2 linked regions of the Oryctolagus cuniculus genome follow. The protein of the gene in region 1 interacts with the protein of each later gene in a biochemical or structural test. Links are inferred from orthologs where the notes say so. Each region holds a gene or a part of one and is shown on either strand. Other genes may lie near its edges.

The links.
Region 2: of the proteins of GSK3B (region 1) and NIN, one has a biochemical effect on the other in vitro, tested with the Homo sapiens proteins (2 studies listed by BioGRID and IntAct). The link is inferred for Oryctolagus cuniculus from reciprocal best matches to the Homo sapiens genes GSK3B and NIN.

What each region holds. Positions count from the first base shown.
Region 1 is NC_091435.1:76,545,556-76,553,735, reverse strand, and holds the start of GSK3B (glycogen synthase kinase-3 beta), read left to right. Parts: upstream 1-2,915; 5' UTR 2,916-2,966; coding exon 2,967-3,054; intron 3,055-8,180. Other genes in the region: transcription factor SOX-4, read right to left, coding at 1,571-2,554. UniProt on the Homo sapiens protein: Constitutively active protein kinase that acts as a negative regulator in the hormonal control of glucose homeostasis, Wnt signaling and regulation of transcription factors and microtubules, by phosphorylating and inactivating glycogen synthase (GYS1 or GYS2), EIF2B, CTNNB1/beta-catenin, APC, AXIN1, DPYSL2/CRMP2, JUN, NFATC1/NFATC, MAPT/TAU and MACF1.
Region 2 is NC_091443.1:25,410,441-25,418,520, forward strand, and holds part of NIN (ninein), read left to right. Parts: intron 1-3,528; coding exon 3,529-3,675; intron 3,676-4,094; coding exon 4,095-4,262; intron 4,263-5,117; coding exon 5,118-5,254; intron 5,255-5,589; coding exon 5,590-5,730; intron 5,731-6,006; coding exon 6,007-6,181; intron 6,182-8,080. UniProt on the Homo sapiens protein: Centrosomal protein required in the positioning and anchorage of the microtubule minus-end in epithelial cells. May also act as a centrosome maturation factor.

The sequences.
Region 1 (8,180 bases):
TTTCTTTTGGAATAAAACCGAGTGTCTCTGAACAGAACCAACATTTTGCAAGGGCAACAACCCGCTCGCACTCAGCAGCTAGTCCCTTTAGTTAAGCATGTAAGCTCTAATTTGTCATATTCCCTATCATCCCCCACTGTCTTGCACCAGGCCAGTCTCATTTGTTTTCCTGCAAGCCCTATCTAGACTTTCCTGTCTCCCATCAAAGGTTACTTCCTTACCTCTCAAGCCCTTCATTAGTTCTGCAAAGCAGCAGCCAGGTAATCTGATCAAGTATGGGTTCTTTCACAGGTGCTTTCTGGAGATAGCATCTTAACAGAAAGGGATGACTCTGCAGGTGGAAATGACAGGCGCCACTGGATTACAGTCGGGATGGCAACTGCCCCCTCTACGTTCTCTGCTGTCCTAACACAGCCCCACCTTACTGGACGAAAGGAACTGCTTCTCTGGCAGAACAATAGACACTGGTTTATGTGTGAGGCCTTCTCCGAAACCACTTCTATAGTTCAGTGAGGCTCCCAAAGACCCAAAGCTACTATGGGCTCTTCCGACTCCCCGTTGCCTCGGAGGCTTCAGGAAATCCGGCTTGACCGCATTTCCCCTCACCTGCTTTCGGGGCCAGTTCTGAGCCGGGCGGTCGCGCCCAAGGAGCGCGCGCATCCAGCATGAGCTCATCTTTCGGGGGGCGTTTCCAGAAGGCCCGGCCCGGGCGCGCGCACCAACCACAGTGAACCCCACTCTGTCAATGGCCCCGGACAGGGCGAGGCGCGGCCGCCCATAGGCGCTACCTCTCTGGAAGCTTTGTTCGTACTTTAGCATCTGAGGGCTCGCACCCCGCTGGGGAGACCCCTTCGTCCGTCAGGCCCTTTCAGGAAAGACGCCGCTGACACTCGGCAGGCGCGATCTCGGGCTGAGGGCAGAGCCAGCCGCGCCCCGCGGAGAGCCTCTCGTGGGCGGGGGGAGCCCCTGGACCCTCTGCTCATTTGAGCGCGCCTCAGAAACCGGCCCCGCCGACCGCAGCAGTTTCGGACGGCTGAGGGGAGGGCTCGTGCTTCCTTAACTGCGGTTTCCACACCGGTCGGGAGCAGCCACAAGCGAGCCCGACACACAAGTCCGCCGCAGCCCAGTCAAGCTTCTCTCAGCTCCTGGGACCGCCGCCGAAGGCCAAACGCCAATCACGCTGCAGCTAGGTCTTGCGATTGGATGGCAGTCAGGGCCCATTGGCCACCGCTAAGGGTTTCGGCCTCCCTCCCTTTCTCTTTCGCCACCCCTCCCGGCTCCAAAGCTTCCGGCCAATGAGACGGCACCTTATAGACATCCTCCCTCCGCTTTCCTCGCCCCACCTTGGCGAGGGGGGAGGTCTTCTGACTGGCCACATGTCCTCGGAAGCCCCCTGCCCTTCGCCAATCATCGAGGGAGGTTCACTCCCAGCGGAGTTTTCCAGCCAATTACGAAGCAGCCCCAACTCGCAGCCCTGCAGCTTCACCAGCGACTCTGGGTTTCACCGTCCTTAACTCTTTAATGCTTATTCGCGAGGGCGACGACTGTGATTGGCCCCTGTTGCCCTCGTCTAATTTGTCCTCCAGCCAGCCACAGAACAAGCCGAATCCACCTTCTTTCCGTTCGGATGCCTTCGGCATTTTCCGCTCTCTAGGCGAGGCTTCCCGGGGGCCCATTCTAATTGGCTCTTCAGGCCGATCGGCTTTTTCCGGGAGGAGCCGTAAAGAAACGACGCCCGTGATTGGCTTCGCTGGGGGTTCGGCTCCGCCGCCGAAGAGGGCGGGCGTTGGGCTCGGCCGGCGATTCCCAGACGCCTGTTACGCGGGCGGCGGGGCGCGGGGCGGTATAAGGCTGGGTGGGGGAGGAAGGAGGCGGAGGACGAGTAGGAGGCGGGGAGAGGGAGGGGGAGGGGGGAAGGCGCTAGGCGGCTGCGCAGACGGAGCTCCTCACACAGAGCAGCCCCCGACCCGGGCGAATGCGGGTTTGTGCTGCCGCTGCCGCTGCCGCCGCCGCCGCCCGGGCCGAGTGACAAAGGAAGGAAGGAAGCGAGGAGGAGCCGGCCCCGCAGCCGCTGACAGGGCTCCGGACTGGGGGCACAGCACGGACACTTCCTCAGCGGACACGGAGCTGAGGCGCGGGGCGTGAGGGCGGCCGCGCTGGTGCTTTGGACGGGGGAGGGGGCCCCGAGGGAGACGGAAGCGGTTGCCGGGTTCCCATGTCCCCGGCGTATGGGGAGCAGTCGAGGAGCCGCTGCCTGGGGTCTGAAGGGAGCTGCCTCCGCCACCGCCGCCGCCATGGCCGCTGGATCCAGCCGCCGCCTGCAGCTGCTCCTGGCGCAATGAGGAGAGGAGCCGCCGCCGCCGCCCGCCTCTGACTGACTCGCGACGCCGCCGCCCTCCAGGACGCCGGGCCCCCGCCGGATCCCGCCGCTGCCGGAGCCGCAGCGTTTCCCGTCGCATCTCCGAGCCGCCCCCTCCCTCTCCCTCCCTCCTTCCCATCCCCCCTTCTCTTCAAGCGTGAGACTCGTGATCCTTCCGCCGCTTCCCTTCTTCATTGACTCGGAAAAAAATCCCCGAGGAAAATATAAAATCCAAAGTACTTATTTTCAATCAAGTATTTGTCCCCATTTCACGTGATTTTTTTTAAGGAGTCCCCCCTCCCAGGAAAGGGAGGGGAAAGAATTGTGTTTTTTTTTTCCCCTCCCCCAGCCCCAAATCATCTATATGTTAAATATCCGTACGGATCCGTCTTGAAGGAGAATACATCGCTCGTGTTTTTTTTTTTTTTTTTTTTTTTTTTAATATAGCTATACAAAAGAAGTGAAAAGCCAAGAGGACGAAGTCTTTTTTTTTCCTTTCTTGTGGGAGAACTTAATGCTGCATTTATCATTAACCTAACACCCCAATATAAAACAAAAGGAAGAAAAGGAGGAAGGAAGGAAAAGGTGATTCGGGAAGAGAGTGATCATGTCAGGGCGGCCCAGAACCACCTCCTTTGCGGAGAGCTGCAAGCCAGTGCAGCAGCCTTCAGCTTTTGGCAGCATGAAAGTTAGCAGTGAGTATTGATTTTATTTTACACCCCTTCTCCGTCTCACCCCTAAAATAAGCAACCTCGAAGTCCTAGAACCTTAACATACTAGACCTGATGGAACACTCACCAGAGCTAATGGAAAAGAGCAAGACCTGTCTTCAGTCGAGGATGAGGCAGCTCCCTCTTTTCTCCTCCCATAACCCCCTCCCTCGGTCTCATTAACCTTGAGTTCAGAGAGTACGATTTTTATTTCGATGATTCGATTTGAAACGTTTCTTGTGCTTTCCTTGCTACTGATGGTCGCCTTTATCCAGTGCTTGGGTGTTTCCACTTGGAAATTGTGATGGAAGCGTTTGCTTGCCGACCCTTTTGAATAAAGAGGACTAAACGACTCATAAACCATTATGTGCATTTGCAGAGTGTTTGTCTTTTGGAACGAGGGAGGAAATTCTGGTTAGCTCAAGTCTCGGGTTATCACAGCTTTGTGTACTTCATGGAGACATGAAATGTCCCAGTCTCCTAACGTTTCTCTTCGTGCTGGTGTAACTATACAAAGTATTTGTTCTTAACCTGGGGATGAACTTGCTCAGTAACCAGCATTCATGTGTGGAGGTGATCATCGCTCCCTCCCTTTACAAGGGGCTGATGGGAACAGATAAATATCCAGCAGCAGTAGCATCTCCAAATACATTGTCTTGAATTGGATAAGTGGTTTAATCTGTTATCTCTTAACCTTCCTGTTTTGGCATTACCAATCTGCCACCATATAATTTGTTTAATCAAAAGGTAACTTGGAAGGAGGTCCAAGTTTTGATTGAGGCGTATGTTGTCATAATGCCAGATACTAAGTTAAATGTTAATTGTCACTGACTCATTGTCATTTAAGTTCAATTTTGACGTGCTGTTGCATTTGTTACTTGTTAAAATATTCTAGAGTACAGAGGATTCCTTTTTAGGAATACTTAAAATATCCTTGCATCAGTTTTCTTGTAGATAAGATTGAATTTAGTTAGAGGAACATAGATTTAGTCCTTTCCATCATAGTTTTTGCAGAAGGTTGTCCTTCTGGAAATGGTAGGGCTGTCTGGGATGTGGTCTCAGGGTTGTTACCAGACTGTACTTTCACAAAGTCTGTTTTCTTGAGGTGTTTGTTATACTAAGTATCCAGTGATCCCACAGAGCTCTGTTTGTGAAGGGGTTTGTGTGGCAATTAATGGCAGGTTATTTAAATATACTTCCAGATTTTGACAAAAAAAAATGTTTATATTGTTTCCTTATTCTCTGAGAAAGGGGCATGAAGAGGGCAAACTATTTTGTTGCCTAGAGGAGCTAAGAGAACTGAAGAGCCTTAAACAGTAGATTCTGTTATGTGGACTTGATTACATCCTTAAGCAATATAAAATGTTTACTTTTAATTGAACTCAAGATTCCAATCACTTTGGCTTTTGGAACTTGCCTGAAACAGGATAGTCCAAGGTAATAGCTGAATGGGAGATTATTTTTGAGTTAATTTTTTTTTCAGTGACTAGCTAGTAGAGAATGCAGAGTATGTAAAGAGGGAAGCTGATTATGCATCTTTTTAGAGAAGGGTCATGCTTTCTAAGCCCTTCATGGGGTCATTTGAAAGAAGTTTTTTATTCTGGGGGTAATTTTTAGCTATGATGAAGCAAATATTACAATAGCTAATTAAGAGCCTCTTGTGATACTGCAGTGATTGTATGTTTTACATCTTGGTAATAATTAAAAAACACTGAAAGTCAGTTTTAGGAATATAATTATTAGATGTATTTCAGAGATCTATAATGCTAGTGTATAATGCTAAATTCTGGGATTTTATATTTTGTTTCTAGGATTTTCTTTGAAGATGACTCCTTAATTCTTGATGGCATACATGTTGACCAAGAATGGTGTGATTTTTGTAAAGTATGTAGGTTAAAATGTTTGATTTTCTGTTATCATGTCCTTCAACTTAATATTTAAAAAGTTGGAATTTATTGCTGAATATGCATTTTTGATAAGCCTAGCTTTAGGGATATTTAGAAGAAAGGGGAGTCATTAGGCATTTGTTAGGTGCTGGTGTTTTCAGGACCCATGTTCAAAAGAGATACATATGAAATTATAGTCCTTGGCTTCAAAAAAAGCTGGTCACTTAGTAGTAGAGGCAATTTATGGGAAAAACAATGAAAACAATGGCATTACGACTGCAAGGCAAAATACAAATTGAATCCTTTGTTCAGAGGGACAAAGAATAAAGGGGTGAGACATGCATTGGAGGGAGAAGGCTTCCTGTAGAGAAGGTGTGCTTTTAAGACAGGTGTTAAAGAAGGCTGTGTCTTGAATTGGTGGAGAAGCATGAAAGATTCTAGGTGAAAGGACTCCAGGCACAGAGATGGTGAGTTTTGTAGGAGAGGCAATAAATAAGCTGGTAAATCTGAATTATAAAAGCCTAAGTAGGAAAATAACAGGTAAAATTTGAGAAATATTGGAAGGATAGCTGACAGAGGGCAAGGGGTCTGAAAAAGTTTGACATTCATGAGAGCTCTGAACAGTTTTTTTTTTTTATAAACTTTATTTATTTTAATTTTATTGGAAAGGCAGAGAGACAGATCTTCTCATCTGCTGCTTCACTCCACAAATGGTCACAACAGCCAGGGCTGGACCAGGCCTAAGGCAGGAGCTGGAACTCAGTCTGAGTCTTCCACTTGGGTGGTAGAAACCCAAGTCCTTAAGCTTTCATCTGCTGCCTCCTTGGATGTGCATTAGCAGGAAGCAGAGGAGCTGGGACTAGAACTGGCCCTGCCATGTGGGATGTGAGTTGTACCAAACACCCACCCCTGAACAAGGTATTTGAAGATGATTTGGGCAGCTAAGTTGAATTAGAGTAGAACTATATTAGAGCCCTTTAGGGAGATGCTAGTGTATGTTGTGAATCATGAGGGAATAAAATAAACTGAAAATGGGATGAAAGGAACAGATTTGAGAGATGGTGTGAAGAAGAACTGGCAGGGTTTTGGATTGGACTGAAGGGGACTATTTGTGAACAAGTCAGGAGTTAAAAATAAATTCTGAGGTTATTGGTCTGGAAGACTTGACCGCTGAGTTACATTGTTAATTGTAATGGGAAAATTGAGAAAGTGCTGAGATGCAACTGTAGATGAGTTAACTTTTTAAAAAAAGTTTCATATAGGATAAGTTGCCTTGAAATTCATCAGACAGCAGTTATTGGCAATTATATTTAACTTTCCAGTCTAAAATTGCACTAATTCTAATTTTTCTATACCTACAAATGTTAGATTTATATTAGCATTAAACTAAAGGTTTTTATTTCCAGGCTTTTCATTAAAGTCTTAAAAAATAATTTGAAATTCAAAAGCCTCACATTTGAAACTAAGTTATAATAGTTTCATGGTAACTTACTTAAAAACAATGAGTATACTTTTTGGAGTAAATTGTGACTTAAACATTTTAAGTATTTTCAATATCAGTTTTTAGTTTCTGTCGCATACTTAAAACTTTTTCATAAATAATGTTTTTTTCCGGTAAACCTTACATTAAAAATGATAGTAATAATACTAAGAGCCTTCATTTTGCATGTGAAGATTCTTACAGAAATTAAAAGTTGATTTTCTAAAAAAGTAATTTTTGTTGAGTTAAAGTATTTATTCCAAGTTTAAATTGGTATATGAGTGTTGAAATCCTTACTTGCTATGGTAAAATCGGTTTCTTTTTCGTTCACATCAGGTTTATGTGTTATTACCTAATGTTAATATTATTATAATTCCTTCTTTAGAATCATGTGATCTTTTACTCAAAACAGAAAGTAAGGGGCTACCAACTTATGGCAGTTTCAGTTAAAATATTAGTAATGAATCCTTTTGACAAACTTTTGAAAAAATTTAGCTATTTGTCTAGGTTCAATGTTTAAATAGAAAATTTGTAAAAGAGGAAAATAAGCCAGTGAGTAGCACTTAAATTGTTTCCTTATATAAAGCTTTTTTGTAAAAAAGATTTACTTATTTGAAAGGCAGAGTGATAGAGGAAGAGAGAGAAAGACACACATGTGTACACACACACCTTCTATCTGCTGGTTCACTTGCCTGAAACATCCAGAGCTGAGCCATACTGAAGCCAGGAGCCAGGAGTTCCATTCAGGTCTCCCATTTGAATGGCAGAGACCCAAATACTTGGGCCATTATCTGTTGCCTTCCCAGGCACATTAGCAGGAAGCTGAATAGGAAGTGAAGTAACACCATCATGGGATGCTGGCATTCTAAGCAGCAACATAACTTGTCATGCCACAATGCCTGCCCCTCATGTAAAGCTTTTTTGGATCAAAAATGTTATTACCAGAGAGAATAATTCATAATGGTATGTTTTGCAGTATTAAGTTGTGTGATAGTTGAAACTGAAGAGTAAATAAGTAGCAACTTAATCTTTGTGACATCTAAAAATTAGATTATTGGAATTCAATCAATTTCTTGATTATCCTGTAATAATGTAGGAAAGAGCTCATGTTTGAGAATGAAAACAGGAACCTCATTTTTACTCTTCTCCCAATCAGACTTAGCTCAGAATTGTTATAACAGTTAAGATGGTAATGTAAGAATTACATGCTGTCTTGTTTTATGCACCTGTAGAATGACAATATGACATAGGCATTAGGAAAAACTTCAGTGGCACCCAGTGATTGACAGTTCAATTGCTGACTGGGCATCACGTTTAGAAAATGACATCTCATTCCACTGATATAGTTCAGCTGAAAATCAGACTGTACTTGCATCTGTCCTGTCTGTCCCTTTAATTGTACTTCAGTTGCAGGAATAAGATACTATTTTGTAAAAAACAGCAACGCTGGGAAAGCTGTGTTTTTTTTTTTTTTTTTTTTTTTTTTTTTTTTTTTTTTAAGTGCCAGCAGCAGACACGGAGACAGCTCTGTTTTTCTGTGTGCTTTATGCACAGAGAAGGCTGTGGAACGGTATATGCTGACCATGCTGCCACAGTTCCATACTTTTAAATAAAACTCACGGGATTGTGAGAGAGGGATGGAAAAGGGAAAGATGTGAGATTGTGGTGCTTCTTGTGATGCCCCATCTTAAAATGTAGAATGGTAGGGCAGAGCACATGGGTGTGACAGGAGTGTGTGCTGTGCT
Region 2 (8,080 bases), on another chromosome or scaffold:
CTCTCCTCTCTCTCTCTCTCGTTCACTCTTTTACTTTATTTTTAAAGATTTGTTTATTTCCGGGGACGGGGGGAGCCATTGTAATCCATAAGCTGTACTTTGGAAATTTATATTCATTAAATAAAAGTTAAAAAATTTAAAAAATTTTAAAAAAGTCACAGTCAAAAAAAAAAAAAAAGATTTGTTTATTTCAAAGGCAGAGTTACAAAGAGAGAAGAAGAGACAGAAAGGGGTATTCCAGCCACTGGTTCACTCCTCAAATGTCTATAATTGCTGGGACTAGACCAGGCTGAAGCCAGGAGCCTGGAACTCCATCCGGGTCTTTCACATGGGTGGCCAGTACCCAAGCTCTCAGACCATCATTTGTTTCTTTCCAAGGAGCATCAGCAGGGATTGGACATGGAGCATCCAGGACTCAAACTGGTGCTCATATAGGATGCTGGCATCACAGGCTGTGACTTAGCCCACTGTGCCACAATGCCAGCCCCACTATGCCTTTCAAATGAATAAAATAAATAAGTTTTAAAAGAATAGTACCTGAGGCCAGCACCACGGCTCAATAGGCTAATCCTCCGCCTTGCGGCGGCGGCTCACCAGGTTCTAGTCCAGGTCGGGGCATCGGATTCTGTCCCAGTTGCCCCTCTTCCAGGCCAGCTCTCTGCTGTGGCCCAAGTGCTTGGGCCCTGCACCCCATGGGAGACCAGGAGAAGCACCTGGCTCCTGCCTTCGGATCAGCGCAGTGTGCCGGCCGCGGTACGCCGGCCACAGTGGCCATTGAAGGGTGAACCAACGGCAAAAGGAAGACCTTTCTCTCTGTCTCTCTCTCTCTCTGTGTCCACTCTGCCTGTAAAAAAAAAAAAAAAAAAGAATAGTACCTGGGGCCGGAGCTGTGGTACAGCGAGTTAAAGCCCTGGCCTGTAGTGCCAGCATCCCATATAGGCACAGGTTCTAGTCCCGGCTACTCCTCTTCCGATCCAGCTCTCTGCTATGGCCTGGGAAAACAGTGGAAGATGGCCCAAGTGCTTGGGAGACCCGGGTGGAGTTTCTGGCTTCTGGCTTCAGCCTGGCACAGCCCTGGGTATTGTGGTCTTTTGGGGACCAATAGATGGAAAATATTTTTCTCTGTCTCTCATTTATTCATTCTCTCTGCCTTTCAAATAAAATTAATCTTAAAAAAAAAAAAAAAAAAGGTAAAGCCGCTGCCTGCAGTGTCGGCATCCCATGTGAGTGCTGGTTCAAGTCCTGGCTGCTCCACTTCCGATCTAGCTCTCTGCTGATGTGCCTGGGAAGGCAGCAGAGGATGGGCTGAGTCCTTGGGCTCCTCTACCCACACAGGAGATGGAGGAAGCTCCTGGCTTCTGGCTTCAGATCAGCTCATCTCTGGCCATTGTGTCCATTTAGGGAGTGAACCAGTGGATAGAAGACATCTCTCTCCCTGCCTCTGCCTGTAACTCTGCCATTCAAATAAATAAATAAATATTTAAAAAGAAAGAAAGACACACAGACTCAGAGGCCCAGCCCAGACTGAGCAGAGCAGAGTCTGCATTCAAGAGATGCCAGGTGATTTCTGCTCCGTGCAGGGGAGGCCCGTTCACGGACAGACATGTTCACCCCTGAGATACGGAGGCTCCGCCTGCCAGGGTGCGGGTTTGCTGTCCCTTTCTGCTGGTAGCTTCAGCGACTCACTGTGCTCCGTCCCCCTTCCTATTCCTCTGTGGGGCTGGGGAACAGACTGTCTCAGGCCAGCCTCTGGGTGGGACTGTGTTCAGTCTCCCTGTGCCCTGTTCTGTAATGACAACTGCTAGATTGTGGGCAGAGGGTGCAGGACAGCTGTCTAAGCCCCCTTGGCTACAGCTCCTGGAGCCCACCAGTTGCACACAAAAGCCTCCTCATCCAGTCTGTTTCTCTTGAGCCAAAGCATTGGAACAAAACCCAGACACACCCTGTGGTGTCCTGAGGCCCTAGTTAGGGGCTTAAGACCCGAACTCTTCAGTCTTTGCCATCTGTCTGAAACCACGTCGCTCTGCTGTGTCAGCCCACAGGTTTCAAAACTGCATAGATGCCACTTATCACCTGGTGGCATCACAGTATAAAAGAAGAATAAGGGGCCGGCGCCACAGCTCAATAGGCTAATCCTCCGCCTGCAGCACCGGCACACCGGGTTCTAGTCCTGTTTCGGGGTGCCGAATTCTGTCCCGGTTGCCCCTCTTCTAGTCTAGCTCTCTGCTGTGGCCCGAGAGTGCAGTGGAGGATGGCCCAAGTCCTTGGGCCCTGCACCTGCATGGGAGACCAGGAGAAGCACCTGGCTCCTGGCTTCAGATCAGCGCGGTGTGCCAGCCCCAGTGGCCATTGTGGGGTGAACAACGGAAAAAGGAAGACCTTTCTATCTGTCTCTCTGTCCACTCTGCCTGTAAAAAAAAAAAAAAAAAAAAAAAAAAAAAAAAAAAAAACTGTGTGGATGCCATGTATCACCTAGGGGCACTGCAGTATAAAAGAATAATGAGGGGCTGGCGCTGTGGCATGGCAGGTAAAGCTGCTGCCTGCAGTGCCGGCATCCCATATGGGCTCCAGTTCAAGACCTGGCTGCTCCACTTCCAATCCAGCTCTCTGCTGTGGCCTGGGAAAGCAGTAGAAGATGGCCCAAGTCCTTGGGCCTCTGTACCCGAATGGGAGACCCAGAAACTCCTGGTCCTTGGCTTTGGATCAGCACAGTTCTGGCCATTGCAGCTAATTGGGGAGTGAACCAGTGGATGGAAGACCTTTCTCTCTCTCTCTCTGCCTCTCTCTGTGTAACTCTGACTTTCAAATAAATAAATAAATCTTTAAAAAAAATAATGAATGTTTCTATTGTTGACACTGGGAAGCTAAATCTTGATATTTTAAAGTTACTTTTTTTTTTTTTTTTTTTTTTTTTTTTTGACAGGCAGAGTGGACAGTGAGAGAGAGAGACAGAGAGAGAAAGGTCTTCCTTTGCCGCTGGTTCACCCTCCAATGGCCGCCGCTGCAGCCGGCGCACCGCGCTGATCCTGGCAGGAGCCAGGAGCCAGGTGCTTTTCCTGGTCTCCCATGGGGTGCAGGGCCCAAGCACCTGGGCCATCCTCCACTGCACTCCCTGGCCATAGCAGAGAGCTGGCCTGGAAGAGGGGCAACCGGGACAGAATCCGGCGCCCCAACCGGGACTAGAACCCGGTTTGCCGGCGCCGCAAGGTGGAGGATTAGCCTATTGAGCCACGGCGCCGGCTCAAAGTTACTTTTTTAATTTATAATAATAGGTAGCAAAATTTAAGACATCTGTTGAAGTGTAAGAGAAAGCAATGACTAAATTGCATAAGATAAGGAAGATGCTGCAAATGGACGTTCACGTCGTTGGTCTGAGGTGGCAAGAGACAGTAAACTCAGTCAAGTGAGAGTAAAGGGACGTAGTAGCCGAGCGTATGGACTTGTGGGCGCCACACCGGTGCTGACTTCTGTTGGCCAGGAGTGTGCTTTGTGTTATTCTGCGTAAAATGCGTGGTTGCTCTTTTCTAGACGCTCGAGGAAGCATTCCATAACCTTGACCCTGAAGGCACCATGAGTGTGGAAGACTTTTTCTACGGTTTGTTTAAACACGGGAAGTCCCTTACGCCCTCCGCATCGACTCCGTACAGACAGCTGAAAAGGCACCTCTCCATGCAGGTAAAAATGCCAGAAGGCGGCTGTGAAAGGCGAACCTGTTTGGATCATTGCCAGGGAGGTGACGTGCCGTGTGATGCGTAAAGAGTCAGACAGACTCAACTATCAGGAAGGGGAGTGTGGGCTGAGGAATGATCCTAAATGAGCCTAGGCCACTACACAGGCCTGTTGGTGTCAGCTCTGGGCCTGAAGAAGCCCTCAGTAGAAGCACATGTTGTCTAAGTCACAGCACCCCCTGAGGAGCTCCGTGAGCCTGCCTGGCCCGGAGCAGAGCGCACAGCGGCCGCGTGCCCTTGCTCACTAGCAGTGGCCGGCAGTCGTGCTCGTCCTGGTCAGCACTGGCCACGCCCGGGCTCGCCCGGCAGCTTGTCGAGATGCTCAGAGCCGGGCTCAGCTTGCTGCGGTCCCTTTTCCTCTTGTAGTCCTTTGATGAGAGCGGCCGGCGCACCACCACCCCCTCCAGCAAGACGGGCACCGTTGGCTTCCGGGTCTTCTCCAGCCTGGATGACGGCATGGGCCAGGCCTCTGTGGAGAGAATCCTGGACGCCTGGCAGGAGGAGGGCATCGAGAACAGCCAGGAGATCCTGAAGGTCTGGCCCCCAAACGGGAGGAGAGTGGCAGGCTGGGGGAGGGTTGAAAGTCTCCAGTTCTTTCCGGGACTCTGTGATCTGACTTGATTTTACTTCTTGATTCTTCTGTTCACAAGATCTCAGAGATCAGCAGGTAAGTGACTTTTCCTACCTTGAGTGAGTCATCTGTGGCTAATTACTTGCCCTATTTGTAACCCCAAAATTATTGATGTGAGAAATGTTCTTAACTATCTCTACTTGGAACAGACTAGAATTATACCATCGTTTTGAGTGACAGTACTGGACATTGTTTTATTACATGGAAATAACTGATAGCCATATTATATATACTCTGCTTAAAGAGAACTTCATTAAATTCTAGAGTGAAGATTGTTCTTTTTTTCTTTAAAGATTTATTTATTTACTTGAAAGTCAAAGTTACAGAGAGAGAGAGAGAGAGAGAGAGAGAGGTCTTCCATCTGCTGGTTCACTCCCTAGTTGGCCGCAACGGCCAGAGCTGTGCCAATCCAAAGCCAGGAGCCAAGAGCTTCTTCTGGGTCTCCCATGAGGGTGCTGGGGCCCAAGGACTTGGGCCATCTTCCACTGCTTTCCCAGGCTGTAGCAGAGAGCTGGATTGAAGTGGAGCAGCCAGGGCTTGAACCTGTGGCCATAAGGGATGCCGGCAATGCAGGCAGCAACTTTACCCACTATGCCATGGCATGGCCCCTAAAGATTATTCTTAAGCAGTCACTAAAGAAATGCACCCATCCCAATCTAGATTGTACTTAGTCCCCTGAGTTTGTATGACCTTCACGTTCTCTGCTTTCGGAGGATAGAACTTGTCATTTTTTCTTGAACTTCTGTTCTGATTTTTAGGCCTTGGATTTCAGCCTTGATGGAAACGTCAACCTGACAGAACTGACACTGGCTCTTGAAAATGAACTTTTGGTCACCAAGAACGGCGTCCACCAGGCGGCTCTGGCCAGCTTCAAGGCTGAGATCCGGCACTTGTTGTGAGTTGAGCAGGTTTGCCTGCCCCATCCCTTTGCCTGCTTGCCCATCGAGTCCATCAGATGCTCTCAGCAAAGTCCCCTGTTCTGTTCTTCCATTCTGGGTGCACCTGTGGCTAATCTTCTCTCACTGAACTAGGAACAGATCTTCCTACCACAGTAGGAAAGGGAGGCGGAGCTTAGACTGGCGCGCAGGCTGTGGAAGGCCCCTTTGTTGGGGAGAGTTTGGGTTGTCTTGGTTTTGGCCTCACACTGAAGCAAGCCAGAGGAGAGCTTTTTCAGATCCCTCTGCTGCCTAGAAACCGTTTCCCGTTAACTCCGTTTGTTTCTGATTCCAGAGAACGAGTGGATCAGGTGGTCCGAGAGAAAGAGAAGCTGCGATCAGACCTGGACAAGGCTGAGAAGCTCAAGTCCCTCATGGCCTCGGAGGTGGACGATCACCACGCGGCCATCGAGAGGCGGAATGAGTACAACCTCAGGTGCGACCCCTAGGGCGACTCCTCCTCCCCTTCCCACCGCCCTGGCTCGCGCGGGGGCGCCTGCAGCTACAGGGCCGCAAAGGCAGGGGGCGCTGTGCCTGCTTGGCCGCCGCTAGCTCTGGTGGTTTAGCTGTGGCCAAGCCTAAGAGAAAGCAGGACACCCTAGGTATTTGCAGGAGGGCGTCTGCCTCTCTGACTAAGCTTCCATCTTTGGCAGCTGCTTGGAGGGACCAGGGAGGGATTTGATGGTAGCTTCTCGACTTTCCCTCCTCGCAGGAAACTGGATGAAGAGTACAAGGAGCGCATAACCACTCTAAAGAATGAACTGCAAAGAGAGAGGGAGCAGATCCTGCAGCAGGTGGGCAAGCAGCGTGGAGAACTTGAGCAGGAAATCGAAAAGGCGAAAACAGAAGAGAACTACCTCCGGGACCGCCTCGCGCTCTCTTTGAAGGTAATGATCTTGTCGGTGCTGGGGTCTGCATCCCTGCTGGAGACGCCCCGTGGAACTGTCCCGCCTGCCAGGGGACAGGTGTGCGCAGGGATCAGTCCCAGCTTGCCTTGCTGTGTGTCTGCCCTGCTGGCCTCTGGATTGCAAGCACACCCAGGCTTCTGGTGTGCTGACAGCACTGACGAGTGGTGATCTTGTCCTTGTCACACCCTGCCGTTGCTTGGGGTCGTCAGGGCTGTGTGGTGCTTGTTGACACCCTCGTGCCCACAGCCTCTCTTCCAAGCCCATCCTTCTCCCTCAGATCCCTTCCTCATTCCCTGCTGGTCCTTACCCAGCGGGTGGCTCACCTCCTGCCACACGGAGGCTGTTTCTCTCTGCACCCTCCCTCTCCTCCTGGGCCTCCGTGGAGGAAGTGGTCCCTCTGTTTTCCAGATTCCCTCACCAGAAAAGCTGGTGCAGGGGCCTGGGGTCAGCTGGCCTGGTTGCAGTCTGGGTTCCCCCACGTGCTGGGAAGCCTGGACCAAGTCACCCACCCCTGTTTCCGAATGCACACGTGGGTGCCGTGGTAACGCTAACACCCACGTCCACCCTGGGCGTTGGTGTGGGGCTCATCTCATCCGGTGCATTGTGCAAAACCGTGAGTACAAATGAAACGTGTGCCACGGCTGCTCTTAGGAAAGCTTCCTGGAACATCACACATCAAAAATAGAGCTAATTATCACTCCCTCACCAGCCAACTGCCTCCTCTCCGAATTTTCTTGCTGAGCCCCGTGATCACCATGTGCTGAAATCCCAGGAGCTGGCGTTCTCAGTGTCCCTCACCTGTGGTCCGTTTGTCCATCTCAGAGTCGCGCTGATGCTCTCCAGTGCCTCTGCGGTGTGTCCCCTCCCTGCTGTCACAGCGACCTTCCTAGGGACCCATTTTGGTGAGGCTGGTGCACTTTATAAAAGTACGGCCACCCGTGAGCAGTCCAGGCCGCAGAAAGGGGGCTCATTGCCCCCACCTGTGCCTTTCTCGCCCAGCTCCTGCTGGCAGCTGCCAGCCCCATGCCCATGCCCCCACTGCACCTCCACCAGCTCTCTTACTTCCTCAGGGCCAAACCCTTTGACCCCTTCCCAGCTGTCCCCAGCCTGCAGGCCCAGTGACAGCTGCATCCGTGTCTCAGTCAATTCTTTGTCGCCAGGGGATGGTGCGTTTCCTGGCACAGCCTAGGCAGCTGTGTCCGCATCCACTTCTCTCCCTGTGCTCAGCACCGCTCTCTGATTTGTCCGAGCCCCAGCACCACGCCTGATACACAGCAATGGCATCTTAGTGCCCTAGCATCTGAGCTGAGATGTATTTTGAACAATTAAAGTTATAGAATTGGCATCTTAGGAGAAGTTGGCATTTGAAAAATAATGCTTCAAATACATTCTTCTGTGCTCCATATTGCTATGTGAGGGTGTGAACTAGAATATATTAAAGAATGTACTGGCTCTATATCCTTTTGGCAAGATAATCTTTGAAAATAATGTTCTGCCAATCAGCCTTTAACACTGGAGGGGAAAATATCAAATGGCTTGTATATGGATTTTTTTTCTTCAACAAATGTGGGTGGAAATCTTTCTCAAAACTATTGTATATGCAGGTCCAGTTTTTATTTCTTTTTGAAAGGGAGAAAAAGAGAGAGAGGGAAGGAGAGAGAACGCTACCATCTGCTAGATCACTCTCCAAATGCCTGCAATGGCCAGACCTGGAGCCAGGAAGTCAGTCCGGGTCTTGCACATGGGTGGCAGAGACCCAGGCACTCGAGCCATCATCTGCTGCCTCCCAGGGTCCACGTTAGTAAGAAAGTAGCATTGGGAACAGAGCCAGGAACCAAACTTGGTCTCTCTGATACACGATGCTTGCAATCTAACCAG